Linked DNA regions of Alligator mississippiensis. The protein of the gene in region 1 interacts with the protein of each later gene in a pairwise test. Links are inferred from orthologs where the notes say so. Each region holds a gene or a part of one and is shown in the gene's direction. Other genes may lie near its edges. The genes, in order: ABI3, EIF3H, EVL and HOMER3.

Region 1 (8,102 bases):
CATAAAAATGATTGTTCTGTTTGTTCCAGAGATGGAGGACTTTGGACACCAGGATGCTCAGTCCATTTCATTAGGACTCTCCACCCATGTGGACCCTCATGCAGATGAAGCGATCACCTTCAGGCCTGTTCATTTAGTTACAACAGAGCCCAGCACTTCCTTGGCCTGGAGTAACCACCCCCATGCAGTTTTCACCATGAATTTATGTGCATGGTGAAAACTGCAGAGTGTTAACCACCTTCCAGCAGATTTCATTTGTTCATCATGGGCCAAACTCACTCCTGGTGCAACTTGACTGGAGGGCTGAATGTGAGCAGATGGCTAGGCATGTGCATTCATTCTCCCTCAGACAGCCACGATGGGGCAAACCAGGGAAGAGAGCACCTCATGGAAGTGACATTCCATGACCAATGAGAAAACCAGTGGGGCAGTGATAGCAGAAATGTGGTTGTGTATGGAGCTAGGACTAGCATCAAGGAAGCCTTCCTTGTCAGAGATGAACATAAATGTTCCCTTCCCAGATCAGCCCCCTGGCAGCAGTTGCCCTCTCTCCCTTATCTGTATCACTTCTTCAGTGAAAGGTCTTCCCAAAGGTGGAACATGAGTGTAACAGAATTGTACCTTCTTACCCAGGGTTGGGCAAAATGCAGCCCACGGGCCAGATGCAACCCACCAGGCCATTTTATCTGGCCCGTGGGGCCCCTAAAAAAATTTAGAAAATTAATATTTATCTGCCCCTGGCTGCCTGTCATGTGGCCCTCGATGGCTTGCAAAAACTCAGTAAGCGACCTGCCCAAAATAATTGCCCACCCCTGTTCTTACCCTAGGCCTGACACTGCCCTGGAGGCATGGCTGAAGCAGGAAGCAAGGCTCCAGCCCTTGGGATTGCAGGGGAGGGAGTTGACTGCTTTTACTCTTTGCCTGGGCTCTTGGTCTTGCTGGAGATTAATGGTACAAGTGACGTGGCTATAGAGTTTGTCAGGACAGGCTGTATGCCTTTGTGAAACCAGCCTCTGAACACACATTTCAGCTACAGATGGCTACTTGACAGCACAATGTGCTCCCTTAGGAGCATAAACTAACAGGCCAGCAGATGCCCACACCATGTTAGGGAGGACTCTAGAATATATTTCAGGTCAGAGAGAGTTGCCTATTAGGTAAAGCACTGCCCTGGGTGACTGCTTAGCCACTCTCCCCCTGGAAAACGTATGATATTTATCTATCTGGCTCATCTGTCTGAAATTTGCCTCAACCCCAGGGACCTCTGGGTGTCCACACCTGCAAAAGGGCTTTGAAAAACTGGCAAGCTTTTGGGGGACAGGAATGGTTTGTCTGAGGGTCTGTACAGCACCTAGCACCATGGGATGCTGCTCTCAGGCTGGGCTGTTTTATCATTATTATTGGTTTCTCCCTCAAGCTTTGATCCTTCTTAGACCTTTTCTTATAGTATTTTCACTCAGGGCCAAGGTAAAAACTGTACTACTTTATAGAATCATAGAAAATTAGGTTTGGAAAGGAGAAGATCTCAGGAGGTCATCTAATCCAACCCCCTGCTCAAAGCAGGGCCATTACCAACTATACCATCCCAGCCAAGGCTTTGTTTAGCTATGTCTTAAAAGCTTCTAAGGATGGAGACTCCACAGCTTCTCCGGGTAGGCTGCTCCAGTACTTTACCTACCCTCCAAATGTTTTCCTAATATCTAACCTAAACTTCCTTTGTTGCAACTTGAGACCATTGCTCCTTGTTCTGTCATCTGCCACCACTGAGAAGAGTCTAACTCCAGCTTCATAGTAACCACCCTTCAGGTAGTTGAAGATTGCAATTAAATCCTCACTGGGTGCATTTACATGTTTTATTAGCATGCAGTAATAAGCTCCAGCATGATTGCTCCTGAGCATGCTGTTTGAATGTGGGCCCAGGACTGCAGCACATTGAGCTGGGTTGGAGCAGCCACAGCTGGCAGGGGCCCCAGGGGCTCAGCCTGCCAGCCCGGGGCTCCTCCAACCCAGCTCAACATGCTGCAGAGGGGCTGGCTGGGACATGATGGGGGCTTTAGTCTCAATCCTCCCAAACTTGGGGATGGGGCCTCTTCTACCAATGGGACATGTTTCTGTTCCTCCTCCTCTGTTGCTAGGGCTCCCTATCTGTTCTCTAGGCAAACCACTGCAGGTGGAGATTAACATTTCTGCTTGCTGCCAGAGCTCACAAACTTCCAGCTTCCATCTTTCTGGGAATCTGTGTCCTCTTCCCTTCTAGTGCTGCCTCTGGCAGTCCTCCCTCCACAGTCCTAGAAGTATCCTCCAGCACTGAACTGATGAAGTCCTCATGGCAGAGGATGCTTCAGAGCCTTGCCATTAGGCCTGTGCGAAGCGGCTAGTATTCTCTTTGGATTTGATCGATTTGGAGGACAGCGATTCAATTCAGCGATTTGGCAGCGGCCGAATCTCCAAATCATCCAGGCCAGGCCCATCCCCCGCCCCTCTCCCAGCCCAGCAATGGCTGCCCTGCCTGCCCTAGCTCCCAGCACCTGAGGGACAGCACCAGAAGGTACTGCTTACATTGCAGGCACTCCGTCACCTGGCTGTCACTGGAAGGAGTCTGCAAGCCACAGTGTATGCAGTGCCAAACCAGGACCTGGGTGGAAGACTTGATTGTGAGCAGTCCTGCCTGGACAGATGCCTGACAGGTGCAAACAAAGGAAGAGCTGGCGGTGGCAGTGGCTCTAGCATTGCAACTTCCTCCAACCATTTCTCTGGGTTTCTTAATCTACCGCCTCTGCTCCTACATCTCTCCTTAAGCAGACCTTCCCTAGCAAACTCTCCTGTAAGCTAGCCTGGTCATTGCTCCTTGGTCCTGAGAGGTTCCTTTTTGCCTGCTAACCTGCTTCCTCTCACTAAGCTAACAGCAAAGGAAGGCAAGAGAGAGTTTCCAGGTAAACTCCCTAGCAAGCTGTCCCTCACTCTGGACTCTAGTTAAACAAGGAATTTAAGTATTATGCTTAATATACTTATGCTAAATATATATAAATTAGTTACTCCTAATTAAAGAGAGTGCTTAATTAAAGGCTCCCCTTCAAAGAGGGGGCCAGCAAACTGACCTGCCAACTGATTTTTTTTTTTTTTTTAAATGTCATGTCTTGGGCCAAATCAGTTTGGAGTTCTATTGACTCAGCAGAGCTCAATCATTCAAGTCTGTGTGGTGCTACCTCCAGCACGTATAATACTTCCCAAACTCTTCTGCCTGAGACTTCAGATACGCCCAAATCTATAGCAGGCGTTCTACATGCAAGCCCCAAGCCTGGTCGCCTTGAAGTTCAGATGCCCCCTAGCCTCGCTTGCCCTTACCCAAAAGGGCAAAGGAGGAAGTTAGAGGGAAAGTCCAAGAGCAATCCCCCATCACCATAAATTGTGTAGCTGATATTCTTGCATTTGGAGGCATTTGTAGACTCCTGCAGGGGTCAGGGACAGAGGACAGGGCTTTGCCCTCTCTAACTACACCGAGTCAGGCTGAGAAGAAGGGTATCTGCCCTGCCAGGTAAGTAAAACCACCTGGGTGGAAAGTCACCTCATGGTTTCTCCCCTGCCAGGAAAGAATGGACTTGCAAACTGCCCTGTTTGCCATCCCTCCTGTTCACTCAGGGAGTCTTCTTTTACAGCCTCCGGGCATGGATTGGCTCCACCCCCTCACTAGGGCTTTTGTCAGACACAAGCAGCAATCACCGGGCTAGCAGCTCTCCCAGCTGCTCAGGGCAAATGCCCAAACACACAGCCCACCAAACAAACACTCAGCAAACCAAATATGCAGACAGCCCTGGCTCACTTACCTGCCACGAGCAAGATCTGGTGCTGCTTCCTCTTTCCTTTCACTCCTAGTAAACTCCTTCCATACTGCCCAGTTTGCTATCCCTGGTCACTTAGGAGTCTACTTTTATACCCTCCTGGGCCTGGACTGCCTCCACCCCCTTATTAGGGCTTTTGTCAGACATGGGCAGCAATCCCCCAGCTAGCAGTGCTCTCAGCTGCTCAGAGCACATGCCCAAACACACAGCTCACCAAACAAACACTCAGCAAACCATTGGCGATGCCTAGGGGGTGCATGCAGGTGCATGCACGCTCCCTGAGCATGGTGGTGCACCCCCTGCAAAAAGGCACTGCCGACACTGCGGGTGGTCTGTGATCGCCACTGGCGCCGCTGCCAGCAGTGTCTGCAAGTGGTCACCAACCACCGGTTGGCGCTCACCACCCTCCCCCCTGCTGCTGCTGACACCGCCGTGGCTGCCTGTGGGAGCTTCCTGCTTGGCACTGCCACTGCCTGCAGGAGCTCGCCATGCATCCCCAGCCTCTGAGGGCACGTGGCATTCATGCAGCAAACCAAACACACAGACAGCCCTAGCTCACTTACCTTCCAGGAGCAGGATCTGGTGTCTGGCTCTTCTTCCTCTTTTCCTTCTTCCTCTTGCTCCTAGTGAACTGCTTACAAACTTCCCTCTTCACTGTCCCTATCTACTTCCTTCCTGGTTGCTTGGGGAATCTCCTTTTATATCCTCCTTCATCTTGCCTGTTTTGTGGGTGAAGTGGGCTCCATGCCAACGGGGACTTGCCCAAGCTTGAAGAAGCCCCAGCTGCAGGGCACACAATGCCAGCACAGCACAGCGAGGAAGAGCCTGGTGTTCCATGTTACAGCATAGATTGGATGTAAAGTGTGCTAAGTCCTTGCTTGTGGTCAGGTGAAGACACAGTTAGATAAGGTTCCCTCTGTGCAGCATGCAATCAAGGTCTAAAGAGCAGGGCTGAGCCTGTTTATGAGCTAGATGGAGATTTCCAGCTGGTTCTGAGGATGGTGCAGGGCTCACTGTGGCAGGCAACCCAGGACCTTATTGCTGTTGCCCTCAGCTCTCCCCTTGCTGGCTTCAGAAGGGCCAAGCCTTTTGCTCCAGAGCTGTGCTGTGAGGCTGTGTTTCTATCAGGAGGCTTCAAGGACCACATCTGGTTTAGTCATGACTGTTGGACCAAACATTGCAAGCAGGTGGCAGAAGTGGAGCAGGCTGAGGAGCCTGAGGCAGCCTGAAAGTTCAGCCCCACTTTTCCCCTCTCCCTGCCTCAGGAAAGCATGACTCACATCCTCTATGACCACTACTTTGCTCTCACCCTGGTCCCTGGAGTGTCCCTGGAGCATGTCTGCTAGCGTGTGCTGCTGTCTCCATCGATTCTCGTCCCTCCGGACCCAGGCTGAGGGGATCGGCTCTGCTTTAACACCTGTCTGGGACTGCCTCCTCTTTTTGCACTGCGATCCAGTCTGAGTCCAAGCCTCCTGGAAGGTGGGGGAGTCCAGTACACAGACACAGGTCTAGAACAATGTGTCGGGTGGCAATTTCCTATTCTTCCTCAGTCATTGTGATAGTCTTTGGATGCAGACTGTGCTGTGAGGGCAGCTAGCAAAGGCTTTGGGGCAGGGATCCCTCAAACTCAGCCAATTGGATGACAGGCCATGATCACAGTGAACCTTGAGGGTTTATGCTGAAGGCGTCAGCTTGTCTCCACAATGCAAAGGGGAGGTGGAGGCCAGTTCCGAGTGTGACTGGGCCCCCAGCCAATGGCTCTGAGAGCTGCAAGGTTCAAAACTCTTGTGTAGACAGCAGACCTCACAGAGAAGGAAGTGGTAGAGGAGCAGAGCAAAGCAGCAACCCAGAGCAGTATGTCTGAGCTGCAGCAGCTAGAGCAGCATGAGATCCCCTCTGCCAGACAGGTCCTGCGGGACAATTACAGCAACCTCCACAAAGTGGCTGACTACTGTGAGAACAACTACATGCAGGTGAGTGTGTCCCTGCTGGCCTCCGCATGCCCAGCTGTGCCCTGTGGCTCCAGGGGAGGTGGCTGGGGCTAGGAGGAGCCAGGACATCTGCCTGGGAAAGGAAGAAATGTGGCAAGTGGCAGCTTGTTGAAACAGCAGGTGCAGCAGTCACTGGAGGTTGTGAGGCTGTGGAGAAAGGCAGCTCGTACAGAAGATTAAGAGGGGTGTTGTGTAGCCTGTGCATAACAGAAAAATCATTGTAGCTTTGGGGAGTGAGTTTGCACTGGGCTGTAGTGTGATCCCTGGGTTCTCATCCTGGCTCTGCCCCTGGTTTGCTGTCATCTCAGAGAAGTGCATGCTGTGGCATATTGGTTGAGAAGTACTGCTTTAGACTGTCAACATTTTAGTGCATTAACTCCCACACTATGGCCCTGTCTGCACCGTGGAGAGAAAGGGCATTCTTCACTCAAGTTGGAGCCTTGGCCCAGGTTCTCAAAGAGATCTAGGTGTCTAATGCCCTTTGGCTCCAGTGAGAATTAGGTACCTTTGAGGATCTGAACCCCAGTTCCTTTCTAATTCAGCTAGCTAACTTGTGCAAAAATGGCACACCGCCTTGTCTGAGAACACAAGCTTGAACTGAGAACACACCTCTCCCATTGTGAAGACAGTGGTTATGGGTTTGTATGGCATCCAGTGGAGGAGGGTGTGATCTCAGCTGGGGTTTGTGGGTGCTACTTTGCTGATAATGACAAACAGCTACTGATCTGCCGAGCAGGCATGATCAGACTTATGTGGCCAAAAAAGTAATGACCCCCGTGACTGCAAAATATAACTCATCAGATCTCTCTTGTCCTAGTAAAGCACAGCCCAGGCCCGAGCTGTGGCAACTCCTGGGATAGCCCAGAGCAAAGGGTGAAAAACAAAGCAGGGGATAGCTCCCTTGGTAGGATCCTGCTAGGGATTTCCCTTCTGCTTTTACATGAAAAATGCCATGCCAGGCAGCAATATGAAGCCCAGAGACAGAACAGTGTCTCTGAAAGGATACCAGACAAGCCCATATTTGGAACTGTCTTACAAGAGCTTTTAAAGACCTTCTTGTTTATGGTACTTTACAAACACATAGCTAGCGACTGCCTTATCCCCAAAAAAGTTTATAATTCAAATAGATAAGACTGACCAAGCAAGGAACCATTATCTCCATTTCTGGTTAGGGACTTGTCCAGGAGGACTAAGTGACTTACCCAAGGTCATACAAGGAGTGTGTGGCAGAGGCAAGGATTGAACCTACATGTTTTGAGTCTTAGCCAGTATCTTAGCCGTGAAGTCATCCTGTTGGTCTGTGGTTATAGGCACTGAAATATATGGTGGGAAAAGACTAAAGGACCCCTTGTATTTGTTCAGTGTTTGTTTTGATGACTTCAGACAGATTTTATGTTTTGCTTAAAGGGGAAGCATGGTACATTATTCACACATTAATATGGGGAAAGATGTTACAGGTCAGTGCACGGGTGAAAATGGTCCTCATTGCAATGCATGTGACAGGAAATGTGGGGAGGAAGGCTGCTTGATACTGCTCAGCCCACACACCTGTGAAGCGGCAGGATCCCCTGAAATGAAGGCCCTATGTCTCTGAACTGTGGCTTTGACCTTGAAGTTCCTCCCTATTGCTCTTTCTCATCAGGTTTCAGTGACAGTTGCTGGGGGAGGGCTGTTCTAGGGTCTCATGGGGCAGGAAGGGGCCTCCCAGGTCAGTCCAGTGTTGTCCTGCGCCTGCTTATGGAAAGAAAGGTCAGCGTCTTTCCTTCCCTGGCCACCGAAGCATCACAGCCTTCCATCAAATGGCAATAAAGAATGGTTCTGAATTGATCATATCATTTGCATTTTGTCAGTGACAGGAAGCCAGAGTTGAGGTTGGGGGTCTCTGCTGATGGGTGCTGCTCACTCTAAATAGACAAAGGAACATTATCCAAATTTTATAAAGGGGAAACTGATGCACAGAGGTTCAGTAACTGGCTCAGCCCCTCATCAGGTGCCCATGGCTGAAACAGGATTTGAACCCACGTTTCCTAAGCCCAAGTCCAAGGGTTTAATCACCTTCCCTCCACATAGATTCAAAAGGCTGTATGAATTTCATAGATATCATAGACAATAAGGCTGGAAGGGACCTTGGAAAATAATCGAGTCCAGCCCCCTGCCCCAATTCTTTGTCTGAAGTGAACTAACTGCTCCTTCTGAAATGTGACCACTACTGGGATGGCACACCAGGGTCACATACAACACCTTTTTATAGCACAAACAGCTGAATGGTTGG
Region 2 (7,918 bases), on another chromosome or scaffold:
ATCTAATGGTTCCTTGAGCTGCATGCAGCCCATGGGCTGTAGGTTGTCAACCCCTCCATTAGAGAATGCTTTTCTCAATTTGCTGCTTACTACTAGAAAGGAATTGGTTATGATTCTGAAGGTGGAAGGCAATTTAGGTGACAGGGGCCGCATCTACATGAGACACTGACTGCACAGTTGTTACTGCGCAGCCATTTAGCACTTGTATGAACAGCTTTTTTGTGATGCTGACTGCGCAGTAGCCCGAAACTACTGCACAGCAGCATTGTCGCAGTTTTTGCCGCACAGTGCTACTGCACTGTAGTCACGGGCTACTGCGTAGTCAGCATCTCATGTAGACACAACCACTGATTAGGAAATGGTAAAATCTGTGACTGTAAAGGAGGAGGAGGAAAAAAGAACAGCAGAATAAAAGCAAGAAACTTCCAACTAAATCCAGAGAACTGATTGGCAAGATCAGGGGTGCTAAGTCTAAGGGAAAAAGAGTGCAGGAAACTTGATTGTTCCTTAAAGAGACAATATTAAGAGAATGAAGACACATGCTCTCCCTATCTACAGGAAGGACAGGAAGTGTAGCAATAAGCCTGCTTACCCAAACTGTCAGTTCTTCAATAAGAGCTGAGGCTTTAAAAGAAGACTTATACAAAAGAGAACTTTGGCCATGCTAACAGGATGAATATAAGAGTCTGAACATGTAGGGGCAAAATCCGAAATGCCAAGGCTAGCAATGGATGTAGAATTAAAAAAAAAAGCATTCCTTAAATGCATTATAAGTAGGAAGGAGATCAAGAAAAGTGAGTTTCTCTTAATGGGAAGGAGAAGCTAATAATGGATGATATGGAGAAGGCTGAAGTGTTTAATGCCTTTTTAACTTCAGTCTTCACAAAAAAAGGTCAACTATTCAATGACAAACACAGCATCTAAAACAGTGGAACAGGTACTCAGCCTAGTGTGGGACAGAATAAATTATAGATTATTTACATAAGTGAGATGTTTTCAATTAGCAGGGCCTGATGAGATTCATCCTAGACTACTCAAGAAATTGGCTGAAGTAATTGCAGAGGAGACTGAAATGTGCATGTATGAAGCTCATACAAAAGGGAAAAAGGATGACCCACAAAATTAGCAACCAGTCAGTCTCATTTTGATACCTGGAAAGATACGGGAACATATTATCACACAACTGATTGTAATAATCTAGAACAGGGGTGGGGTAGCCAACTTGCAGAATAACTGCCACAAGTGGCACTGGCCGCTTGTGTGTGTGGCACATGGCAGATGGGGAGGGGAGGGGGACAGGCAGCACAACAGTTGATAGGGGAAGAAGTAGAAGACAGTACAGCAAATCAGACAGAGAGCAGAGAATAGAAAGCAGAGAAGCAAATTGGGCAGAGGAAAGGATCAGAGTGGCACTCAGGGAGGGTGTGAAGCTAATTTGTGGTGTGCCTGCCAAAAAGGTTGCCCCCACTAGAGGTCCACCGATATATTAGTCTCGTATGGTAGCGGCCCCGATAAAAGGAAAATTGACATTATCGGCAATCAACTTTTCTTGGCTGATGTGGATGATAATGTTGCCAATAAATGCTGCATGCACGTGCACAGCCACAGCAAGCCCAGCAGTGTAGAGAGCAGCATCCAGTTGGTAAGTCTTTTGTGGGGGAAGGGGCATGGGGGAAGAAAAGGGTGTGGTGGGGGGCAGACCAAGGCCTCTGTGGTGAGGGAGTGGGGCTGGGGCAGGCGCTGCCCAGCCAGAATGGACCAAAGCATGGGACGGAGCTGGGGAGTGTGTGGCTTCTGCTGCTGCATGCACCACAGGAAGGCATGGGGGACATGTGCCCCCTGGATCTGTGCACAGGGCAAGGGCGAGCTGCCACTGTGGGCTGGGGCTGCAGGCAGCGCCAGGCTCTTCCTGGCTGGGGAGGCTGGGCTGGGGTTGCGCTCGGAGCGGGCGGTGGTGGCGCTGGAAGGGGGGCTACAGCCACCCCAAAATTCACTGTAGCTCCTTTCACAGTGCCACTGTCACTCACCCCAAGCACAGCCTGGCCCAGCCCCCATGCTGGGAAGAGCCCCAGCTCCAGCCCACAGTGACAGCCCACCTTCACCCTGCGCACAGATCCAGGGAGGCACATGTCCCCCATGTCCTCCCGGGGTGCGTGCAGCAGCAGAAACAGCCGTCTCCCTCCCCCATGGATGACCTGCAGCTCCATCCTGCACCCCACCCTGGTTATGCAGTGCCTGTCCCTGTCCCAGCACCATCCCCAGCCCTACTCCATCCCTCTTCACAGGGGCCTTGATCTGCCAGCTCCACACCCCTTCCCTCTCTCCTTCCCCAACAGACTTAACAGCAGGATGCTGCTCTCCATGCTGCTGAGCTGAGTATTGGCTGATATGGCTCATTAAAAATCAGCCATTGGTATCAGCCCCCAAAATCTCTACCAGTGCACCCCTAGCCCTCACTGATCTAAGGGATAGCAGGCTGATAGGAAGCAGCCAATATAGGTTTCATAAGAACTAATCACGGCTAATCAACCTGATTTCCTCCCATGACAGTAGTGCTCACTGTTTTGGCAGGGGGCAACAGGCACTGAGGGGGGTTATTTGGATGCACATCTTGCTGGGGTTATTTGACCCCAGCAGTCTTTCCTGCCCAAAGCAAGGCAGGGGCTGGACCCGATGATCTCATCAAGTCCCTACCAGCCCTAAACTTCTGTGAATCTGTGGGGGTACAGGCATCATGGGGGAAGGGGAGGGGGTGAAGCCACATGCCTCCCCACCCGCCCCCCTGCTGCTGCAGGTTAGACATACATTTGTCTGGGATGGTTTAGAGGTCTTTTCCATCCTTAGAGGTCTTTGAGACCCAGGTAGACAAAGCCTTGTCTGAAATGATGTAGTTAGGGATGGTCCTGCTTTGAGCAGGGGGTTGGACTAGGTGACCTGCTGAGGTCCCTTCCAACCCAATTTTCTATGCCCATTTTCACAGCCCATTTTTCTATGAGTTATACCTGTATATGCCTAACATACCATAACATCAAGCAGAGAACGAGATAACTGTCCCACAAAAATGTGATGTCACCAGTCAGCGGATCCATCAGTGAGTAGTGAAAACTATCTTCCTACCTGCATTTTTGGCTTGAGAGTGTTTCTCTGAAGTCTTTACTTTGTGGGCATTTATATGCTTGATTCCAGATTAAGAACACCTTTGACTGCAAACTACACAACATTTAAAAACACCTGTAAGTTAAATCATGTTGAATAACTGTATACATTATGTTAAACAAAATGGCAAAGTTTTCATCTCCTTATGTTGCAATTAGGTGCCCTTTGGCATTGCCTTTTAGCAAGGACCAAAGCCAGGATGGAGGATCTTTCTGATGCTCTTTTGAACACTGTATTTGTTGGGGAAAGAGAACATATACATTTTTGGAACGGCCAGACCCTGTGCAGAAGAGGGGGAGCAGTCTTAGGAGGGACGTCTTGGGTGGGGAGAGGGAGAGATCTCTTGGTGTGAGGCAGGGGAATGGATGGGCTTGGGAGCGTCTTGAGTGGAAGAAGATTTCTTATACCTAGGGTGACCACATGGGGCAATGTGAAATTTGGGACAGTGTGAAATCCGGGACACTGCACCCCCACCCTCCGCCTCTCTGCTGCTGCAGGCAGAGGCAGGGCACCATTGGTATTAGTATTCAGACAGCTAAGGAGTCAATGACCCATTTATGACCCACAGTTTTTTTCACAGGTGTTAACACCCTCCTTTTTAATGGTCATTTCACAATTAAGCTAACCTTATTAGTGCAGGGGTTCTCAAACTTTGTCATACTGTGACACTGAGTGCCAGATGGTGGCGGAAGTGGATGGGGAGCTTGTGTGCGGCAGCTGCTGCCGCCATCCAGCACTCTGCACCGCCACCGTGCACCATGTCCCTGCACTGCTGCGTGTACCCTTGGGAAGTTTGCAAGCAACCCCCTTTTAAGTTGCTCTCAACCCCTCAGGGGGTTGCAACCCAGTTTGAGAACCCCTGCATTCGGGCAATTTTGCTGCTAGGGCTTCCTATTTCACAGCTTCTACTGCTCCAGCTTGTGCTCTGCACACAAGACGCTCAGCTGGCCAGGTTTGGCCTCTGGAAGGGAGAGTTCTGGATTTCAATCTGGGACCTACAATCACCCTACTTATACCTAAATGCAGATGGGATGGGGTTGGGGGTTTTCTCTGAAGGGTCAGGAGCAGGGAAGTAGGAGCAGGTGTCATGGAGCGCGTTCCCTAGATGCGGGGCATCTACTGTTGCTTGTCAGTTACTGTAAGAGCCTCTGTGCTTTTCTGGATGCAGCAGGCTGGATACAAAAGCAATAATAATATAATAAGGGTGATGAAAGCCAAAGATGTCTTAGGGCCATCTCTTTTATTAGATTAACCATGTAGTAAGGATAAAGTTAGGCGTTGGAAGGCCAGGCGCTATGATGTGATGGAGATGCGTGGGTCACCTCCTAGCACACCCCTGTCTAAGTTTGGAGGAACTGACTTTGGCTGCGCAGGTACCCCACGCACCCCGCCCAGCGGAGCCCTTCCCCGCTACACGGGGCAACAGCGCAGCTCCCCTCCACGTACTGCAGGCTGCGAGGCAGCAACTCCTGCGTATGCGCTACCAGCGCTCACACGAGCACGAAGCTTCCGTACGCATGCGCTCTTTGTCCCCGCTCCCAGGTTTCCGCCCGGAGTGCATTTGGCGGCGTCACATCCGGCCGCCCCACCCCGCTTCCGGTGCTTCCCTTTTCACTTTCCGGCCGGCTCAGGAGGATGGCGTCTCGCAAAGAAGCGGCTGCCGCCGGCTCCGCGGTCGCCAAAGTCAAGAGTAAGGCGGCGCCGGGGGACTCGGCCGTCAAGCAAGTGCAGATCGACGGGCTGGTGCGTGCGTGGGGCTGGGGCGGGGCGGGCCTGAGCTGGCGGCGGCCGTGTGGGAGCCTCGTGGGCCAGGCGGGGGCGGCTCCGCGCGCGCTGCGGCCTCCCAGGCCCCGCGGCCGGGCGCGACGCTGCCCCCAGGGCTGGGCTTTGCGAGGGGGCCCCGCGCGCATCCCCGCGCGTGCTCTGCTCGCTCCGCCCTCCCCCTGCCGACCCCGCGCCACGAGGGGGAGGCGTGTGCGACGGGCGAGAAGCAAGATCGCGGCACGGCCCCTTTTTAAGCTTACGATGCCGTTTGGCTGCAACAAGCTCTCGGTGCCGTCCCAGGACCCGGCACTCGTGGCCCGTGGGAGCCGGTCGCTCGGCCGCAGGTTGGACATAGCGTGGCCTTTTGTGGTACAGCGGGGGAAAAACAGACGTAGGAAACGAATCGTAGAAAGTGAGGGTGGGAAGGGATGTCAGGAGGTCACATCTGGTCCAGCCCCTGGTCAGAGCAGGACCAGCCCCAACTAGATCATCCCAGCCAAGGCTTTGTCTAGCTGGGTTTTGAAAGCCTCTGAGGATGGAGAGTCTGCTACCTCTGTGGGTAACCTGTGCCAGTGTTTTACTGCCCGCCTAGTGAGAGAGTTTTTCCTAATATCTAACCTAAACTTCCCTTGCTGCAACTTGAGACCATTGCTCCTTGTTCTGTCATCTGCCACCACTGAGTACAGTCCAGCTCCATCCTCTTTGGAACCAGCCTTCAGGTAATTAAAGGCTGCTACCAAATCCCCTCTGTCTTCTCTTCTCCAGACTAAATAAACCCAGTTCCCTCAGCCTCTCCTCAGGTCATGTCCCCCAGCCCCTCACCATTTTTGTTGCCGTCCGCTGGACTCTTTCTAATTTGTCCACAAGCTTGCTGTAGTGGGGTGCCCAAAACTGAACACAGGACTCCAGGTGTGGCCTCACCAGTGCTGAATAGGGGGGAAGAATCATGTCCCTTTACCTACTGGCAAGACACCTACCAATGCAGCCCAGTAAGCCATTAGCCTGCTTTGCAACAAGGGCACACTGCTGGCTCATATTCAGCTTGTTGTCCACTGTAACCCCAAGGTCCTTTTCCGTTGCCCAGCCAGTCAGCCCCCAGCCTGTACTGGTGCTTGGGATTATTCGGTCCTACAGGCAGCACTTTTCACTTCTCATTTGCATTTATCCAGCTTTTCTAAGTAGCCCCTAACCTAGGGGTGGCCAATTATTTGGGCTAGGAGGCCACTTAAGGACTTTTGGTCAGCTGTTTTGGGAAGGGGGTGAGAACTGCTGGTGCTGACCCAGAGTTTTGGTGAGCTCTTGTGGGGGGGGAGGGGAGGAGGGAGGAAGGGGTGATAACCCAGTCTTGACACCTTGTCACACTACCTAGCATGGTGAGGGCGGGAAAATGACAATTGATCTATCTGGCCCCAGGCCTGTTGGCTCTGCACCCACAGTCAGGGATGCTGGACAGAGTGGGTGGGCAGGGTCTTCATGGAGACTAGCCTGGGACCCTACAGGTGGGATGTGCTCAGCTGGACGGATGGGATGGGGTTGCAAGTGAATTGGGGAACAGGACAGGTGGGAGGAGCCAGGGCCAGGATCATGGGGTGGTGACAGTGTGAGGCCAGGGTCTGGGGCAGAGCCACAATCCCTGCAATGGGTGCCAGTTCTGTGGGCAGCGGCTGTCCCTTGCCTGCAGACCTGCTGCCCATTGCATGGATGTGACGATAGTGGATTACAGCTTGGCCCCAGCCCCGCACTGTCACCGTATCGCAATCTTGGCCCTGCTGCTACCTGCTTGTTCTGCTCCCTGATGCTGCTTCCTGTTCTCCCATGGCCCTATCCCATCCACCTGGCTGAGCGTGTCCTGTGTGCATGTCCTCTCTGCTTCATCTTCCCCCAGTGGTGGGTGTAAGGCAGATGGGCCAGGGTGCCTGGCCAGTGGGGCCAGGTCCAGCAGTGGCAGCCAGAGGGAGCTGCCATTGTGGGGGCTGCCAGGAAGCCTAGTCCTGCTGCTGTGCCATCTGACCCCATGGATTACAGCTCCTGGTGTGCTTGACAGCTGTGTGTGGGGATAGGGTAGGCTGTGCTCTGCGGTAGGTGGCACCTCTGTGCCTGGGGCTGGCAGGACTATCTGCACATGCCATAACCTGGGCTGCTCCCCAACCTTGAACTGGGGGGGACCAAGGGGCCAGATAAAATCATATTGTTGGTTGGATGCAGCCTGTAGGCCATATTTGGCCACCCTTACCCATACCTGTTCTCTCGCCACTGTTTGCTGCTCACATTCTCCCCAGACTGTGCTGCCAAGTACAGTAGTCCGGGAGCTGACTTTGCCTGTGAAGACTGAGGTAAAAAAGGCATTAACTACTTCAGTCTTTTCTGTATCATCTGCCACTAGGTTGCCTCTCCCATTCAGTAAGGGAGATTTGTGCCATCAACATTTTTTTTCCCTGTGGCCACAGATGTTTCTTGGTGCCATGGCTACTGCTTTCTCAAATTTCAAAAGAATAAAAACTGAGTAGTTAAGTGCATTGCCTTCAGCTTGGCTAAGCAGAATCAGAAATGTGAGAGGCAGATTCAGGTATTAAAACCGCTTTTGGAAAAGGAGTATTTTCTTGGGATGCCCAGCAATGTTTCTGGGGTTTGCCAAATCGGATCATGGACCACTCTTCACCTTGGTTCTACAGCGTGCTGAAAACATAAGGTGATGGCTCTTGCATGGAGCTGTGGGCACAGTCATATTACTAGCGCAGATCATTCATGTGGAGCACTGGTTCTCAACCTTGTTAGACTTGAGACACCCCTTGGAAAATGCCAGCTCTTAATTTTTGCTCTTTTATCACGACAGAGATATAATAGAAGAATTTTTTCATTTAAAAAAACTCAGAAAGATCATAATAGGTCAAAGCATATTTAACACTGCTCATTCCTGTTTGAAAACTCTAGGTTTATCTTGTGAATCATGTTTACACACTTAAGGGTACTGACACTGCATGGCTCCCTTGAAAGGAAC
Region 3 (7,562 bases), on another chromosome or scaffold:
AGTCCAGCACAGGGCAAGAGAGTAAAAGCTCAATCCAAGGTGAAATTCAGTTCTGTGCAGAAGGTCACCACCATTCCTGGGGCACCTCAACCCTACTTAAGCCCAAAGGGTGGATTTTACCTGCTGACCAAGCCAATTTGCTTCTGGCCTGTTCTGGATTGTCATATTTCAAATCCCCTTGCTCAGCTGCAAAAATTACCAATAAGGATGACAATTTTGGTTATGTGAACACTTCTCTACTGGATAAACTACCAGCATATTTTACATGAAACCACTGAATTGCTGTCAAATTGTAATAGATTATGGTACCTATCACTGCTTGAGCAACCTGGATTAGATTCAAACATGAGGAGTGGGATTCCTTGTTTGTCATTACCAATAATTATAATTGCCCAAATGTCCAACTAAGTCTGATTTGGATTTATTGTTCTATTCCACAATTACGGGTTTGGGTATGAGGTAGGTATTTATTTTCAGTTGTACTCTTCCCTGCTTACCCAGCTCAAACAAACGAGTTATCACTGAATTATTCTTTGCCTTTTGTGGTTTCTGATGCACACGGCTCCTTTTGTTCTCTCTTAGATACCATAAAGCCACTATTCGGTACTCTTACTCATGGATATCAGAAGTTGCAGTTTGATTGAGATCAGGGTTGCCAGCTATTTGTAAGTTTACAGACATTTTGTTTAAAAAAAAAAAAGCGATAAAAACACTTGTCTGGAAAAAGAAAAAAAAAAGAGAGAAAGAAAAGGCATGGAGCTGTCCATAAAAAAACTAAGAAACTATGAGCTTGATTAAAGATCTGTTATCAGAAAGAGGCTGGATGCCAGTGTTGATGGACAATGAGACCACAGCAACACCACTTTGTGTCTGAGTGGGTGAGCATCCTGCAGGGAGCTCTCTGTCAGGATTTGTGGGCCACAGGAGCCCCCCTTCCCGTCATGTGCTGCCACTGCATCCTATAGGCCATTGCCTGCTTGTAACAGCTGTTTGCCTCAAAGTGGGCAGGTCTGTGCAGTCTGAGGCACCAGGCAGGACAGGGTGGGTGGCAATGTCTGTGTCTCCTTGGGTGAGTCTCTTGTTCCAATGGACTGGGTAGTTTTGCTGCTGACTTAGTCTATTAACTGTTTGGGTTTCACTTGATGTTTAATGGTTAAGGTTTTCTCTATGGTTGTATGTTTATCCCTTGTTACACATGTAATAAACCCTGTTTTAGTAGAACATTACTTGTGAGTGGGAAAGTTTGTTCACTTTAGAACATCCAGTTACATTTGCTTTTCAGGTTTCTTGGTGTGGGCTCAGGCCAGATTTAAGAGTTGTTGTTAAACCCCTAAAGTCGAATGTGGCCCTTGTTACTGCCATCCGGAGCCTGGCAGAAAGGTTACATTCACGTTGCATAAAATACATCAGTTAAAGAATTGTATAGGTTGTCAGTAAAAAATAATAATTGTGTTTAGCAACTGTTTAAGAAGCTTCTGGCAGGATCATTCCATTCTTATTGATCCATAAGGCATTGACATTTTTGCTGCTCCTGTGTTCATTATACCTTTTAAAGTTATACAGACGATTGGGCATTCATACGCTAATCTTCATTGATGTAGACAATGTGACATGTATATGGTCAGATTTTTCCTCATCATGGGACTCTTCATTATTTTGTTTCAAGAAATTACAGTTACTTCCACTGTAGATCAAGGCTCCTAAATGGACGGTACAGAACTCTACAAGTAGCTGGGAAAACATTGGCTTGAAACTAAGGTAACTTGTTAAATGTCAGAATTTTCAGTAAAGGTCCACTGTTGCAAAAGCTTTCTGGAGGGTGTTTGCCCTTTACACCATCCTGCAGCCTGGACAGAGTGGCCATTGATGACCATGTCATGGTTTGAACAGCAGCTTGTTTCTTTGCATATTTGTTCATAGTGGTTGCAGCATCGAAAGTCATGACAGTGATTTAGCGAGCTCAAATCCAAGGGGGATATATTTTTTTAAATGCAATTCATTTTTATGGCAGGCATATCAAAACTGAACATTACACACACTGGCCAAGCTCACTTCCTCTGAAATCAACAGCAGTTTAGCCACTGTCTTCAGAGCAGGATTAGGGGCAAAAATTAGGTAGGCAACCCTCCTTCAGATTTTCTTTCTTTATTTCTGTGGGCTCTCTCCAGATTTAACCTTGACTTCGAAGCTGAAATCCTTGTTTCATTGTAGCTAAGGATGAAACTTCTATTGTTTTCAGTGGTGCCAGGTGGATTCCACTTCTGTGTCTAGGTATTTTACGTGCTTTCACCAGACTGTATTTTGAAGGAGGTGACTTTCTCTTCTGTTTGAAAGCTTCAGTCTCTTCCCTTCTTACACCACCTGAGTGGATCAAAAGTATTCACTTTTCATTTCACCTCTGCATTTTAATATGCATTTCAGAGGATAAAATACTTCTGTGGCCAAATTTACCCTTTGTTTACATCAGATATCAAAAGGGCATAACCAATGGGAAAATTTGACCTTGTGCATTCTAATTACTACAATATTGTAATGGTAATACAACTTTTTATAGCCGACATATCAAAACCTAACATTACGAACTGGCCAACCAGGGCATGTAATGTTATTATGACAGGAGTTTTTATTCCTGTTGTCACAACTTATTTTCTTTTACACAATCAAATTCAGTGTTTTTACTGTTCCTTTCGTACTTTCATCCCTAAAGAAAAACCCTCCTTGCTCCAGAAAAATTCAGTGCCAAGTTTTTGTTAAGATTCTAGTGGCGGTTGGCTCTCTTGGAGGCGTCTTCTTCTTTGAAGGCTCCTTGGGTTTAGGGTTAGCTTCTTGGAATCCTCCAATGAAGTGTCCTCTTTTACAGGTGCAGGTTCTGCCTAAACAGATAATGGCTTTGATCCTGTGTTTCTAGCAGTCTTAAGCTCCCCTCAAAGGTGGTGTGTGGCTCAGCAGGCAGGGAAATGACAGCTCTTTGTCTTCTAATTTTCCACTTTTTTTAGCAGTCATGCTTATTGACATAGGTTCTCTCTGGTTGTTACTGAAGAGCATATGATTCGTCTTTCGAAGCGTTCTAGGAGTGCGTCCTGCATCTTCCTGGGTTTTTTTTCCCCCTTTCTCTACATATAGTAGATGTAATTTTGTTCTCCATAGCCTGTGCTTGGAATATCTTTTAGCTCCAGTTTCTTGCCATAAAGCATTTGTACTTTGGTGGCATCCTTTCACACTCCCTTGTTCCATGTTTTCATCATGTGACTTCAAAGGCTTTAAGTTCTGTTACTGTTTTTGGGAAACTTTCCATTCAGATGAACATGTGTTCTCTTCATCTAAGAACTTCCCGGGGTGTTTTGGTCTGTGACTGGGCAGCTGAAGAATCTTGAATCACATGCCACAAATCACAAAATTGTCAACTCTTCCCATTTCTATTTTTATCTTATTTTAAAATGTGACTATTTGGCTTTTATCCGTCTTTCTTCAGTTGCACTCCTGTGATTTATTGGCATTAAAGCCTGAATTTGACTTGGCACATTCCACACATGTTGTTACAAATTGAATGTGATAGCAGAGAATTCAGGGGTGAAGGAGTTAAATGGTCAGGAATAGTCTGCAGTAGAAAAACTACTTAATATGTTCTGGCATTTATAGAAGGGGGGGCTTATGGTGCTAATCTTCTGTTGTGACACTGACAATTCAATATGCATAAAAAACACCATAAGATAATAAATATCACTGCAAGCTAAGAAAATCAGTGTAAATGGGCCTAATTAATCTATCAGATTGAAACATTAATACCATATGTTAGTTGGCTTTCTCTTTGTCCTCTGTGTGATTCTGATGTAAAATGTGAACAATCATTTAGCTACAGAGTCTGTCATGTAAAGTATTTGACTTATTTGGCTAGAATAATAAAGATACCGGGCTGTATTCTTGGAGTATACTGCATTAATCAGACTTGCTGGAATGATCACATGGTACTCTATCGCCTTTCCCTGTTAGCTGCTGCTTGTCAGCAGCTGGCTGAGCTGTAGGCTGCAGGCCAGTATCTGCATACCCTTTCCCTTCAGAATATTTGCAATATACTGTCTCTTAATTATGCATCTTGCTGCAGATTGACAAACTAAATGGTATTCCTGCACATTAAGAAGAATATTTTAAATTTCAGCGAATTTGTTTAGTTACTAGGCCATGTATGCATTTGAAGAATTCAGGTAGGCTCTCTGTTTTATACATCAGTGTGCTTGGTTTTTGTTCTCACAAGGTTTTTGCTGTGTAATGTCAGCCGGCTCTACAGTTAGTTCTTGAAGACGCAAATGTTTCTTGAATTTTAAAATATCTACCCTATGTGTTGTAAGGAATATCTAGGATGAAATGCAGGTAAACGATAGCTAACTGCATGATGCAGTGCAAAGCTGGATAATTTATTATATCTTGCACATATTTTATAGTCATATAACCAGACACTGCAAGTACAGTATAGAGTTATAAATATAAAGCAAACTGTTCTATTGAAAAGGTCTCTGCTATTTTTGGTTCCTTCAAACCTGACAGATGCTTGTTCTATAAGGAATAGACATCATGATAGTTAAGGGAGAAAATACTGATGTCTGGATCATATATGGGATTAGATTTTGTGCTGCTGCAGAGTATACATGCCATTTTCATAATCTTGTAGCTGCTGAATATCCTATGAATTGCATTAAAAATATAATCTGACTAATTTGGGGTTTGGGTGGGGTTTTGTTGGCAAACATTTGAAGTACTGTGATTGTTAAAGTACAAAATTAGGACCTTGTTGATTAGTGCTGTTCAGTAATGTACCTTCCCCCCCATACCTCAAATATGCATGCATCAAGGTCTGTTAAAATCATGACAGGCTTTTGAAGCTATATGAAAGAAAGCAAATAGAGGTACTAACATAATTGATGATTTAATCTGTAATGAAACTGTATTAGGGTCTATTAATTTTTTTTTGACCTTTCATGGGTCTTCACTTTTTTAGGTTTATATGGTTTCTTAACAGTCATAGCATAAAACTGGCCAGATAAAAATGGTGAAGTGTTATGACAACATCAGGGTCATCTTCTGCTATGTTGTCTTCCTATAGCAATAATTCTTTTATATTAATTTTATAAATACCCCTGAAAACACTGGCGGGTATGATATTACTTAAGTAGTATATAACTAGATGAGCTGATCAGTTTTGCATACACAATTGGCATTCTCCACCCAATTTTTTTTCTCTGAACTTTCAAAATTTCATACCAAATGTAGACAAGGTTGTCTGCTAATCTGTGCTTTGGCAAAATGACTAGGTTTTTAATGTTTTGATACTGAAAAATGTTTGGGGTTTTTTGTCTCATCAATTTCAAATGGAAATGAATGATGGGGGAAGGGAATTAAGAAATTGTCCCATATCCAGGTGTAAAACTGTGAAGAAATGAAGGCTTACAGTGAATAGAAGTTCTGCTGTTTGTGAAATGCAGCAGGATGCTGTTTCAGTAAAATCTTTTTTTAAAAGGATTTTACTGGAACACCATGTAGTACTATGTAACTGCAGTTGTCATAGGATTGTCAAGATATGATCACAAATTTTGATGCAGCCAATTGCTGACAGTAAATTAAGATGTAAATAGGCACCAAACTGACTAGTCATTATATATCCCTGTATCAATTCATAGCTATCTGTATTTCATCTATGGGATTTAAGCATATTATTAATACAGCAATGCTGTGATCAGATTGTTGCTAGAAAAGATACGCTTTTGAAGAGTCTACTTTAAAAGCTCTACCTGTTTTTTTGTTTTGTTTTGTTTGGTTTTTCTTGTGGTAGACCCATTCACATGAAGAGATCTCAGACAAAGACCTTTACTTAGTGTAGCAATGGTATTTAAATGCTGGTCTGCACACTGAATAAGACTTGTGAATTTTCTAGCCTTGTCCTCTTAGGCTTACTTTGAAAATAACATTGAAAATTGCATGTCTAAACTGTGAAGATATTTTAAGATCGTCCACCCATACGGGCTGTGGCGTCTGGTCAGTAGCCTTAAGACTTATATTTTATTTTACTAGGCATTTAAGTGGTGTTCCATTTTAGGTTATATCTTAAAGTTGGTCTTTTTTCAGCATTCTCCCTTATGCCTGGTAAATGTATTTCATTGTAATGAAACAATAGGATATCTTACAAGATAAAAATGTTTGGCCTAGTTCAGTATTTGGATAGAGAACCTGGAGCACCCAGGGGAGTGGTTCTCAACCTTTTAAAACACAAGGTACTCCTTCATAACGTTTCTGAATTTAGCAGCATCCAGTTGCAAAAACTGATTTTAATCATTTCTTGACTACATAAAAGTAACAGAGCAATTATTCTGTTGCAAAGAATTCAGAAAGACCACAGCAAGTCCAACTTTTTTGACATTATGGATTCCTATGTGAAGTCTCTCAGTTTATCTTGGGAATTATGTGTAGGTAGGTGTCTGTATACCTAATAGTGCTAATATTACTGTAACACCCCGAAAAGGATCTTATTATCCCCAGTTGAGAACCACTGATGTAGGGATGTAGAGTTGATGAATCAGTAGATGGCGCTCTTCTCTGAACGAAGGCTTAAATGGCATTAGAGGGCCCTAAATACCCATCAGACTCTGAAAAAGGGGTGCAGGCTAGCACTCTGGCTTAATTCCAAGTGGAGTGATTGCATTCTGTTTATTTAAGTTCCCCCTACAGTTTCAAGTTGATGCAGTGTTCTTCACTGGCCTAAATGGTTGTGGAGCATTGTGCGCTATTGCACAACTGTTGGATTTTTCAAGCGTTTCACTCCGGGGCTGGATGAAGTGACCCTGGCATGCTGTTTATAAAATACTTATTTGTGAAGTGCTTTGGGATGAAATATAGCTTTTGTGATGATGGGGTAATGAGCCAAGACTTAAGCCCCAGAGAAACAAAGGGATGAAACCTCAGTGAGAATTTACTAATTCCAGACGTGGCCCTCACAGGTCATGTTCTTGACAGGGAAGAAGGCATTAACTCCAGAGCACTGTTACTTCTTCCCTGAGAGTCGCAGTGACGCAAGGAGCCCTATGTCAGTAGTAACCTTGCCACTTTGCACCTTTTGAGGATCTGGTTTGTTGTCTTCATTGTTTGTTTCTTTTTACTGTGTCCAGAGGATCATTAGCCCCTGGTATGTTTTATAGTTTTTCACAAACTGGTTCTCTCAGCCTCTTACTAGTGTGCATGCTCTCAGCTTAATGCTCAACATCCTGTGAGAGCTATAGAAGATGCTTTTCCTTTGGCCAAGAATAGACTATACATTTATGCTCAGGCTAGATTAGTCTGTGTAGCACCAGGATGGTTTGTAAAGTGAGTGCATCTTTCATCATGCAGCCACAAAACCAGCATCTGTATGTTTCTGATGCACCTGACACCATTGTATTTCAGTGTTTTTAACAATGAACTTTCTATTTCTTAGGAAAACCAATAACCATACAAAAAGGACAGTAAGAGAAAGTCAAAATGAGCTGTTCCTGAATACAGCAAAAACCATGGTTTGAGGTATTAAGCTGCGGTAAAAC
Region 4 (8,512 bases), on another chromosome or scaffold:
ACTGCTTTTGGAAAAAACCCCATCAAATCCATTTCCAGTACCCTTTTGACATGGTGGCATTGCAAGAATAAACATTTCTGCAGTTGTTACTGAGCCTTTACTGTTGTGTTCTCCTGCACCATTATAGAAATTAACACTTCGGAATCTAATAATAATACTTAGCGCTCAAAAAGTGCCTTCACCTTCAGAGTTTATCGATGTAATCTACAAATAGGAACTAATTAAGTCTCCTAATGTCCCTGTGACGTAGTTATTATCTTCCTTATCCTGATGAGGTTAAACAACTTGTCCATGGCCACAGAGAGAATCAGTGTCAGAGCTGTGGATAGAAAGAGTTCCTAGCTCATTTTGTAGGCTCCTACCATTGACCACCAACCCTTTACTTTATCACCTTTTCAAAGCACTTTAGATGCTTTAAATTTAAGTTGCTGATGAATTTTTAATGACTTTTACAATGTCTCTCTCCCAACCCCAAAAAGCCTTGTGACCCAGTTTGCGTACCACATAGCCACTGTGAATTGATTTGCCTTGGAGCATGGCCAGAATTCAGGTACCAAAACCCTTGGCTGCTCAGCATATTTGGTTGAACCAATTTTTTTTTTTTATTAATGCTTCTAATGTCTTCATGTTTGGAGGATAATCTGGGATCTCCAGCACTGAAATCCCCGAACAAAAGGCTGTGCTCTCTCTGTCTCTCTCACACACCAGAGACAAAGTGTAAGGCCGGTTCTGCACTCCCAAACATGCACAGCTTGTTTTCTCTGTTCTCAAGTAGCCCTGGAAGCTGAAGTCCATCTGGAAAGCGTGCAGAAGTACTGCCCTGCTGTACCATCAGACCCACTTTCAAATTAATTGAAAAGGATGCTTGGAAACCAATTTGGTGCGTGCGTTATAGCCAAATAGAAAAAAAGAGACCAAGTAAATGTCATTTAACATACCCTTCTGACTATGTAACACAACTGGATTGAAGTGTTTTTACACGGAGAGTGAGAGTATCTCTCTTTTCATGCATTCTTATTCCTGTGGATCAGACTATCTTTAAAACAGATGTGCGTTGTACAAGGCCTTCTGATGTATACTGTTACATGCAAATACCACAGAAGCAGGGGCCAGCTCTTGAAACTTTCTAAAAGCTGCGAGCACTGTTCAGTTCCCTTCCCAGATCTCTTATGTCTGGCATTTTTTCAGATACTAATCAATGCATTAATAATATTGGCACTTTTCTTGGAAGGATGTAAAGGTGGGAATACTCTGCCTTCTGTGTAAGACTAAGTCATGTGGAGCATGGTGAGGACATGAGAACTGCATATAAAAATGGACAGCTGAAAATGAGGAAGTTGAACAGCTGCTTGCACACCATACTGCTGAGGACTGTCTGACTGCAGTCACCCAAGGTATCGGTAAAATGCAAAAAGCTAGACCAAAGGTGTGTATCTTGGCCAGTGATTTGAACAGGATTCGGTTTGTCTTTTGGCAGTGTGTGCTCTTGGCTATATTCTGAATGGCTTTATGTAAAGAGCTCCATTAAGATTAATGGCGCAGACTTGACAAAGGCCGCGTAATTAATGACATGGGTGGTGATCAAAATATCTCATCTCGTTTCTTTTCTTTTCTTCAGGTCAGGGGACACTTCCCCCGCCCCTCCTCGCTAGGAGGAGGGACAGATAGAGCACAAAACCCTGTTAAAGAAAATCCTCATAAGGCTACTAACATCTGATTTCAGTTCAATTCCTGCTGATCTAATTATCCTAATTTAAATGTGTAAAATAATTAGCTTCTAAGAAGAGCCATAGATAACCCACTGTTAGCAGGTCGATATGAAAGATATTGTGCCCTACTTTCAGTGGTGTCTTCAGTGCAGTTTATTTTAGTCCTTTTGTCATTGGTGGCCATGTTGTGCAGAAGAAGGGCAGAGAAAATGGAGCAAAAGCAGAAAGGGCACAATTCAGTCCTGTGCTGGCATTGAACTCAGCCCTGGCGCTGTGAGGGGAGTCAGTCCTGGAGTCCAGCGGATGAGAGCAGCACCCAGACTGCCCTCACTAGTCCCCAGTTGTCAAGACTTTTCTGGCTGTGGCTTCATGTGCGCTAAGAAACCTTTCCCATCTTTTCCTCCCCTGGTTCAGCTCCCCCAGTATCAGCGCTGAAGGCTGCAGCCTGTTCCAAGCACCATAAAATCTGACCTTGTTCAGATCGGTCTAGCTGACACCACTTATAACACTGGCAGCTGCCCACAGCCTCTCAGCACCGGGCCCCCCAGCATCAGAAAGATGACAACTCTCCAGATAACTCCTATAAATCCTGGGAAATACGGGTGGGAGGGCTACTGTGGCAAAGGGAGGAAGGTGAGGAGTGAAGGCATTGTTGCTGTTCTTTTTGGTACATATTATTTAGATCAGGTATCGGCCTCATCTGGCTGGTCAGCATCAAAGTGCAACAAAAAGTCAGTCCCTCGCCCCAAAATGCTTACGGTCTTAGTTCAGGCAGTCCTGGTGCTTGTCGTCTGCTCAAAGGCTTCGGCGTGAATAGGGCTGGAAGAATGGCTGCTACACCCACATTGCCTTGTAAAACTGCTCGGACATAACTTACTATTTTGGTGAAAGCAACAGCATTGTCTTGAAGCTATTAAGGCATGGAGAAATTAATGTGCAGAACTGGCAGAGATTAACGAAAACTCTCTTGGGGAAATTCCTTATTAAAGTAGGCAACCTAATAAATCACAAGCAAAAATGGGATTGGACTCCTCCAATCACCACACAGTTCAGCACTATTGGCAGTCTGTTCACGAGAGGCCTGGCTTTAGTTTTAGTGGGAAGTGTTAGGTCAGGATTGAGGCACTGTGAAAGCCCAGAAAACAGCACTGTTTTTGATCATGACTCGAGTGCATTGGCAGTGCTGGGTTTGGAGGGAAAGTCGGGACTAGTTCCCTGCCAGGAGCCAAGGTTTAAGGACATCACTAGACGTATGAATATGAGAAGCTTGCACAACTGTTGCCTGCTTTAGCAAATGCTAAGCATGTGCATGTGCTCTTACACTTGGACCGGGTTGCAAAAGGAGGTGCCAGAACTGAATACAGACAGAACGGCTTTTTCTCTTCTAATGCAGCCATTGCTGTCAGAGGAAAAATGTGATCTTTTTTTTTTTCCTTTGGCCATAACACATAAGACAGGGCTGTTCACAGCAGGACCCAAGTCTATAGCTGTACTTTGTGCACTATGCTGCTTCTGAGCCGATGGAAGCAGCTGCGTGGTTGTGATGCTGCAGGTTTGGAGGCTGGGTTGGAACAGAAGGAAAATGGTACCAGAGAGCAGCTGCTTTATGCAGAAACCCCACTGGCAGCCTGCTGGAGATAGTGCAGAAAGCTCAGTAGAAGAGCAGCGGCAAGTCCTGTTTCCTGCCTTCTCTTCCCTGCAAGTCATTAGGCTGCAGGTGCGGCAGGGTCAGTGTGAAGAGTCAACTCCGCTGTGCTGCCTTGCAGAGAGGCAGAACTTGAGACTCTACCTGCATTTAGCTTGTAAACACCTGAGAGGGAGGTGCTCTAGGCACTCTTTAGGTAGGTAGAGAGGTCTCCTGGTAGCAAGACAGCAGGGTGAGGAGGAGGGGACAGCTGTAGCACTGAACACCCAGGTGAGCCAGGGCAGGTGCAGTTGACATTTCAGCCCCCAAAGTGATCCCCAAGGTCAGGCAGCTGTCGCTGCTTCAAATGTGGTGGCAACTCCATTTTCTTTAAAGTGTGGGTATAGTTTCATAGATATTTGCCCACTGAAGAGGATGATTTGGTTCCATTATCTGATTCAATATGGTCTCTTATATTGATGTCTGGGAAACAAACCTAAAGGCCCCAATTCTGTTATCCTGCGCCGGGCATAGTCACTTCTGTTAGTGACAGGCGAGAATAAAGTGCTGCCCATTTCACACTGGTGCAGCTCACGGAAGCTGCGTGGCATCCACGGCCTGAGGACAAAGGCATCAGACTGTTTGGGGCCAAATTCATCCCCAGCGTTAGCCTGGTGGAGTCAATGGATTTACAGCAGGGGAGGAGCTGGCCTGTTGTGGCTGTACAACAAATGTGAATTAGGGCCTTGGAGCACAATCACGAGATGTTTGCTGGTACTCCTAAAGTGCGTATTAGGTGCAGGAAGATATGTTTTCTTTAATACCATCTAATCTATTTCCATCCCTAGATTCTAGTGCTTATTTTGGGCTGCCTATCTCTATCCCTAGAGTCAAATGTGTCTATCTATCTGTCCACCCAACCTTCCCTTGATTTATACATTTTTGCCACGGGACCAGTTCTCCAGTCTCCATTTTCAGTTCTGTTATTTATGCCTGTGCAGAGTAGGTGCAAAAGACCCCAGGTCACAGATTTAAAAGCCAGCTGTGTAACACAGGCCTTCTTGGAATTAATTCTTCTTTGAACTAGAACACATCCTTTGCTAAGACACCTGACCTTAATTCAACATCTCCCAGGGATGAAGTCTCCACCCGTCCCTAGATGAGCAGTTCGGTTGGTTAATAACTCTCGCTGCTAAAGCGCTGCACCTTATTTCTAACCTAAGCCTGTCCAGGTTTATGGGCTGCGATCAAGTCTAAAGACTTGCAACTTTAGGAGCAGATTGAATTCTTCAAATTCTTATAATCTTTTACCGGGCAGGCACAGTTTCCAGTTTTTTAAAGCATCCTTCCCTCAGCCCTCTGCAATTTTTTTAAACTTCCTTTTTGAAGTGTCTCTTGCATGTTTGAGGGGTGTAGGTTGTAGCCGTGTTGGTCTCAGGACACAGGGTCCAAGGAACCTTGTCTTCTTGAACTGTAGGCACCAGAGCTGGATGCATCACTCCAGAAAGTGGTTGCTGCAGTGCCAAATACAGGGGAAATATAGTGTGTCCGTATGTCCCTGTTTGTACATCCAAGGATTGACGTCGTGTCACATTGGCAGGTCACGTTCAGCTGATTTCCCACCCCACTCCTCAAGTGTTTTCTCTCTCTGCTTCCCAGAAACTTCCCTTCCCCCAATCCCTCAATCCCTTACAAATGTAATAGCAGCTCAGCCTCGCTTTGCACAGGTGCAAACGTCCACCCAGAATACAAAGGAATGGAGAATTTGGCCCACGCAGGGAGGTGAGGGAAACCACTCCCTAGACTGGAATAAAAGGGACGTGCTGTTTTTCTAAAGTATTAGCGAACACGTTTGAGATACCTGGGGTAGAAGGGGCAGGCTGTATTGGAGCAGGCAGCAGCTGCTCAGACCCCTTTGGTCAAAGCTTAGACCCGTAGTATGTACGAGATTACAATATAAGGGCGAAGCCCCGGGAAAGGAGGTGTGTTGGGATATCTTGGAGCTGTGCTGATCTTATTTAGCAGCTTGGTTTTTCGGCGGGTGTAGATGTGAGCTGTGCCCGGCAGGTGGTGCCTCTGAGCCAGCTGGAACCCATTGGAAATAAAGTGAGGAGAAAGAAAAGAGAAATGTGACCGAGATGGGGCAGTTGGCAGAGGAAGGAAGCGGATAAAAAGAGAGAACAAAGAAATCGCAATCAAGAGGGATCAACTGGAGAGGTAGCTTTACTTTTTGGGCTGTGGAAAAAACTTCCAGGGTTTATCAGTCGCCTAGAGTAGAAGGGAGTGGGCAGCATTGTTTAAAGGGATTGCAAAAGCAGTGAATAATCCTGCTGCTGCTGCTGCTGCTCTCCTCCCCATGCTGAAGGGAGGAAGGGATCCTGCGAGCAGGAGAGAGGAGGACACTGCGGGCCGGAGGCTGCAACATCTCAGCAGCAAAGTGTGCTCCAAAGTTCTTGGCCAAGGTCCCCTGGGCTGCCGCTCTCGGTGGGGAAGACCTCTCCTCGGGAGGGTGTTCGGGACCTCACCCAGCCTCCTCCCCCACGCCCTCTGGGATTATAGGTCATTTTGAACAAGCAACAAAACTAGCGGATTTCAAAGTGAAATTCCGGAGGAAATTTAAAGAGCATCCGGATCCGGAGAAAGAGAGAAAGAAAGAGGAAGGGAAAAATAAATCAAACGTGGAGAGGAGCTAAGGCGGCCGAAGAGAAGCCCAAGAAGAAAGAAGCTGACACCCAGGCGGAGATGGGGTGAGCCAGGCATTTTGATTATTACTCGTGTATCTTTTGTTTTCGTACCAGTTTAAATAACCCAACATGTTTTTTAAGGTATATCCGAGCCGAGGGGATGAGGGCTTCAGGTTGCCATCAAGAAAGAAATGCCAGTTTAAGAGTACAAAGCAGCCCTAAAGTTTAAGGGTTCACAAAGTAGACAACTGCAAATCTCGGCAACTTCTTGACAGGTACCAGGATACAGGGACGGGGCCCTGGGGTCCAGAGCGGGAGTCAGGAACAGCCCTTGGCCACCTTCTCCCAAGTTAAAAAGGACAGGTTTTGTTTTTCCCTTGTGACCTTGGTGCTCAGTAATTGGGATACTGCTTGCATTTCTGAGCGGGTGAGGAGTCTGATTGGAAATCTCCAACGTGAGTTTAAGTTTATGACCCCCTAAAATCTTCCAGGGGTGAAATATGTTGTGCTTAAGTGGCTAGAAGGCACGGGCATGAAAAAGAGATTGTAGCCTGGTGTTTAATTAATGTGCTGGTAATAAACCCCAGCCGTGTAATTTTAAGACCCTGACGTTGCTCTGAGCGAGTTGCTTTGTAATGAACTCTTCTGGGCCACTCAGAAGCACGTTGGGCCGGGAGGAGCCCGGCCTCCCCAGATCCCCCCAAGCTGTCAGTGTGAGACTAGAGGGCAAGTTCACTGGCTTGTGTTTCTTTTGCTGAGTTTCTGATTTTTGTTTTAGGCAACCCAGGAAGAATTACTGGACAGAGTGAAATATAGATGGGGGTGGCAGAAGGGGCAGAGGCACAGAACCAGGTCTCAGTTAAACCAGTATGAATCTGGAGCAAATCCACTGAAGCCTGTGGGGCTTACACTGGTCCCACTCGAAATCTGAAACTGCCCCATGTCTCCGTGATCCCTACCTTGAATCCAAAACTTCAGCCTGGGGATTGCCAGGAAGGGTGTTTCAGGTGCATAGGTTGGGCCTGGCGCCTTATTCTCCAGGTGTATTAGATGAATCCTTCTTGGAGTCATCACGACTACACCCAGCAGCTCTGCGTTTTCTTTAGAGGCCTGCCAGTTCCCACAGAAAAGGTTGATTCGATGTCATCCTGATATTTTCTTAGATCTCGCTCTAATTACAGGGTTGCAGCAGCAGCAGCAGCACTGCTGTTACCGTGGAGGTGGTGTTTCTATCCCAAATCCCCTGTTTTTAGTTGCATAGACCTTCTGAACTGAAATGCCTTTGTGCTTGTGTATCGTTCACATGGAAATGTTGAGCAGCCATCTGCAGGCATTAGATTTCTCTGGATTCCCAAGGCATTAACAGAGCATCCCCTTTTGAATCATTTTCCACCAGTTGATTTAAGCGAGCTCATTTTGAAGTAAGGATTCAGTCCTTACCCCTCACCAGTGACTCTTAAATCTTGCCTATTGTATGTCCTCCTGATGCTCGTTCTGGTATCTCTGGGTAGCTTTCCCGCACAGCCTGTTCCTGGACTCTAATGTATCCCCGTTGCACAGTAGGTTTTCAAGTGCTGGCTCCTCTTCTTTGGAAGAGTCCACTTCCAAACGTTGCTTGGATCACAAGGGAAGCAAATGCATTTACCTCCCGGCTGCGCCTGCAGTGAGCATTCGTCCGCACTTCCACCTAGCAGACGACACAGCAGTCTCCGCTGTAGGGAGGACTAGGATGGGCGTCGGAGAGGAGAGGCTTCTGGTCATGCTTCAGGAGCCCTGGCTGCGCTGTTCAGGGGCAGGACTGAAACGGCAGCAGAGGAGAATGGAGCTGCGCCCACTGAACTGAGCAGGCATCCATGTCTGGAAGGGCTGAGGATGCTGTGGTTAAAATGATTGCACGCAGGCAGAAACATGCACAGAGCACAGCGGGGTGCTCGTAGATGCTTATTACGGGGGGGCATTGGAAGCCCAGCACTGGAGGGACGAGGGTGAGCTGTCAGCAGCGCTGCCCAGACTCTAGCTTTCTGGGTTAGGCTACGCACTACTTAAATGCACTCTGCTTCCCCTATGTTCAAGACTTCCCAGCACCGTGCAGATAAGGCTCCAGTCCGTGTGTGGCACTGGGAGAGCCAGTGGAGACGTCCGTCCCCGCACGGGGACTGTTCCAGGCACGCGCTGTGCACCCAGCCGCAGAGCCATCCTCGTCACCTGGGACCCGGGCCTGGTGGCGAGAGGTGTCCAGGAAAAGCAATGCTTCATAACGGTGCTGGGCCTTTAACGCCCAGGTCCTCCTTTCCCTGGGTCTGAACTTGCACGCTTGCACTCGCGTTCCACCCCCACGACTAATCCGACAGGAGTGCAATTCCCCTGGTGCCCTTTAGCAGCAAACAGGCTGGGGGGAGCTGCTTTTGTACTAAGCTCTCCTAGGTTAATCTCTCACCGGGAAGCCAAGGGTACACCAGGGAAGGAGGAGAGGGGAGGATTAGTTCGTACGCTCC

Evidence for each region.
Region 2: the proteins of ABI3 (region 1) and EIF3H interact in binary tests that used the Homo sapiens proteins (3 or more experiments, as listed by UniProt). The two-hybrid records come from large-scale screens. The link is inferred for Alligator mississippiensis from reciprocal best matches to the Homo sapiens genes ABI3 and EIF3H.
Region 3: the proteins of ABI3 (region 1) and EVL interact in binary tests that used the Homo sapiens proteins (3 or more experiments, as listed by UniProt). The link is inferred for Alligator mississippiensis from reciprocal best matches to the Homo sapiens genes ABI3 and EVL.
Region 4: the proteins of ABI3 (region 1) and HOMER3 interact in binary tests that used the Homo sapiens proteins (3 or more experiments, as listed by UniProt). The two-hybrid records come from large-scale screens. The link is inferred for Alligator mississippiensis from reciprocal best matches to the Homo sapiens genes ABI3 and HOMER3.

What each region holds. Positions count from the first base shown.
Region 1 is NC_081827.1:168,641,523-168,649,624, forward strand, and holds the start of ABI3 (ABI gene family member 3), read left to right. Parts: upstream 1-4,720; 5' UTR 4,721-5,695; coding exon 5,696-5,812; intron 5,813-8,102. UniProt on the Homo sapiens protein: May inhibit tumor metastasis. In vitro, reduces cell motility.
Region 2 is NC_081826.1:24,947,116-24,955,033, forward strand, and holds the start of EIF3H (eukaryotic translation initiation factor 3 subunit H), read left to right. Parts: upstream 1-4,759; 5' UTR 4,760-4,791; coding exon 4,792-4,899; intron 4,900-7,918.
Region 3 is NC_081825.1:282,648,989-282,656,550, forward strand, and holds the start of EVL (ena/VASP-like protein), read left to right. Parts: upstream 1-4,164; 5' UTR 4,165-4,179; coding exon 4,180-4,202; intron 4,203-7,562. UniProt on the Homo sapiens protein: Ena/VASP proteins are actin-associated proteins involved in a range of processes dependent on cytoskeleton remodeling and cell polarity such as axon guidance and lamellipodial and filopodial dynamics in migrating cells.
Region 4 is NC_081839.1:1,369,406-1,377,917, reverse strand, and holds the start of HOMER3 (homer protein homolog 3), read left to right. Parts: upstream 1-5,427; 5' UTR 5,428-5,550; intron 5,551-5,892; exon of another isoform or gene 5,893-6,080; intron 6,081-8,512. UniProt on the Homo sapiens protein: Postsynaptic density scaffolding protein. Binds and cross-links cytoplasmic regions of GRM1, GRM5, ITPR1, DNM3, RYR1, RYR2, SHANK1 and SHANK3.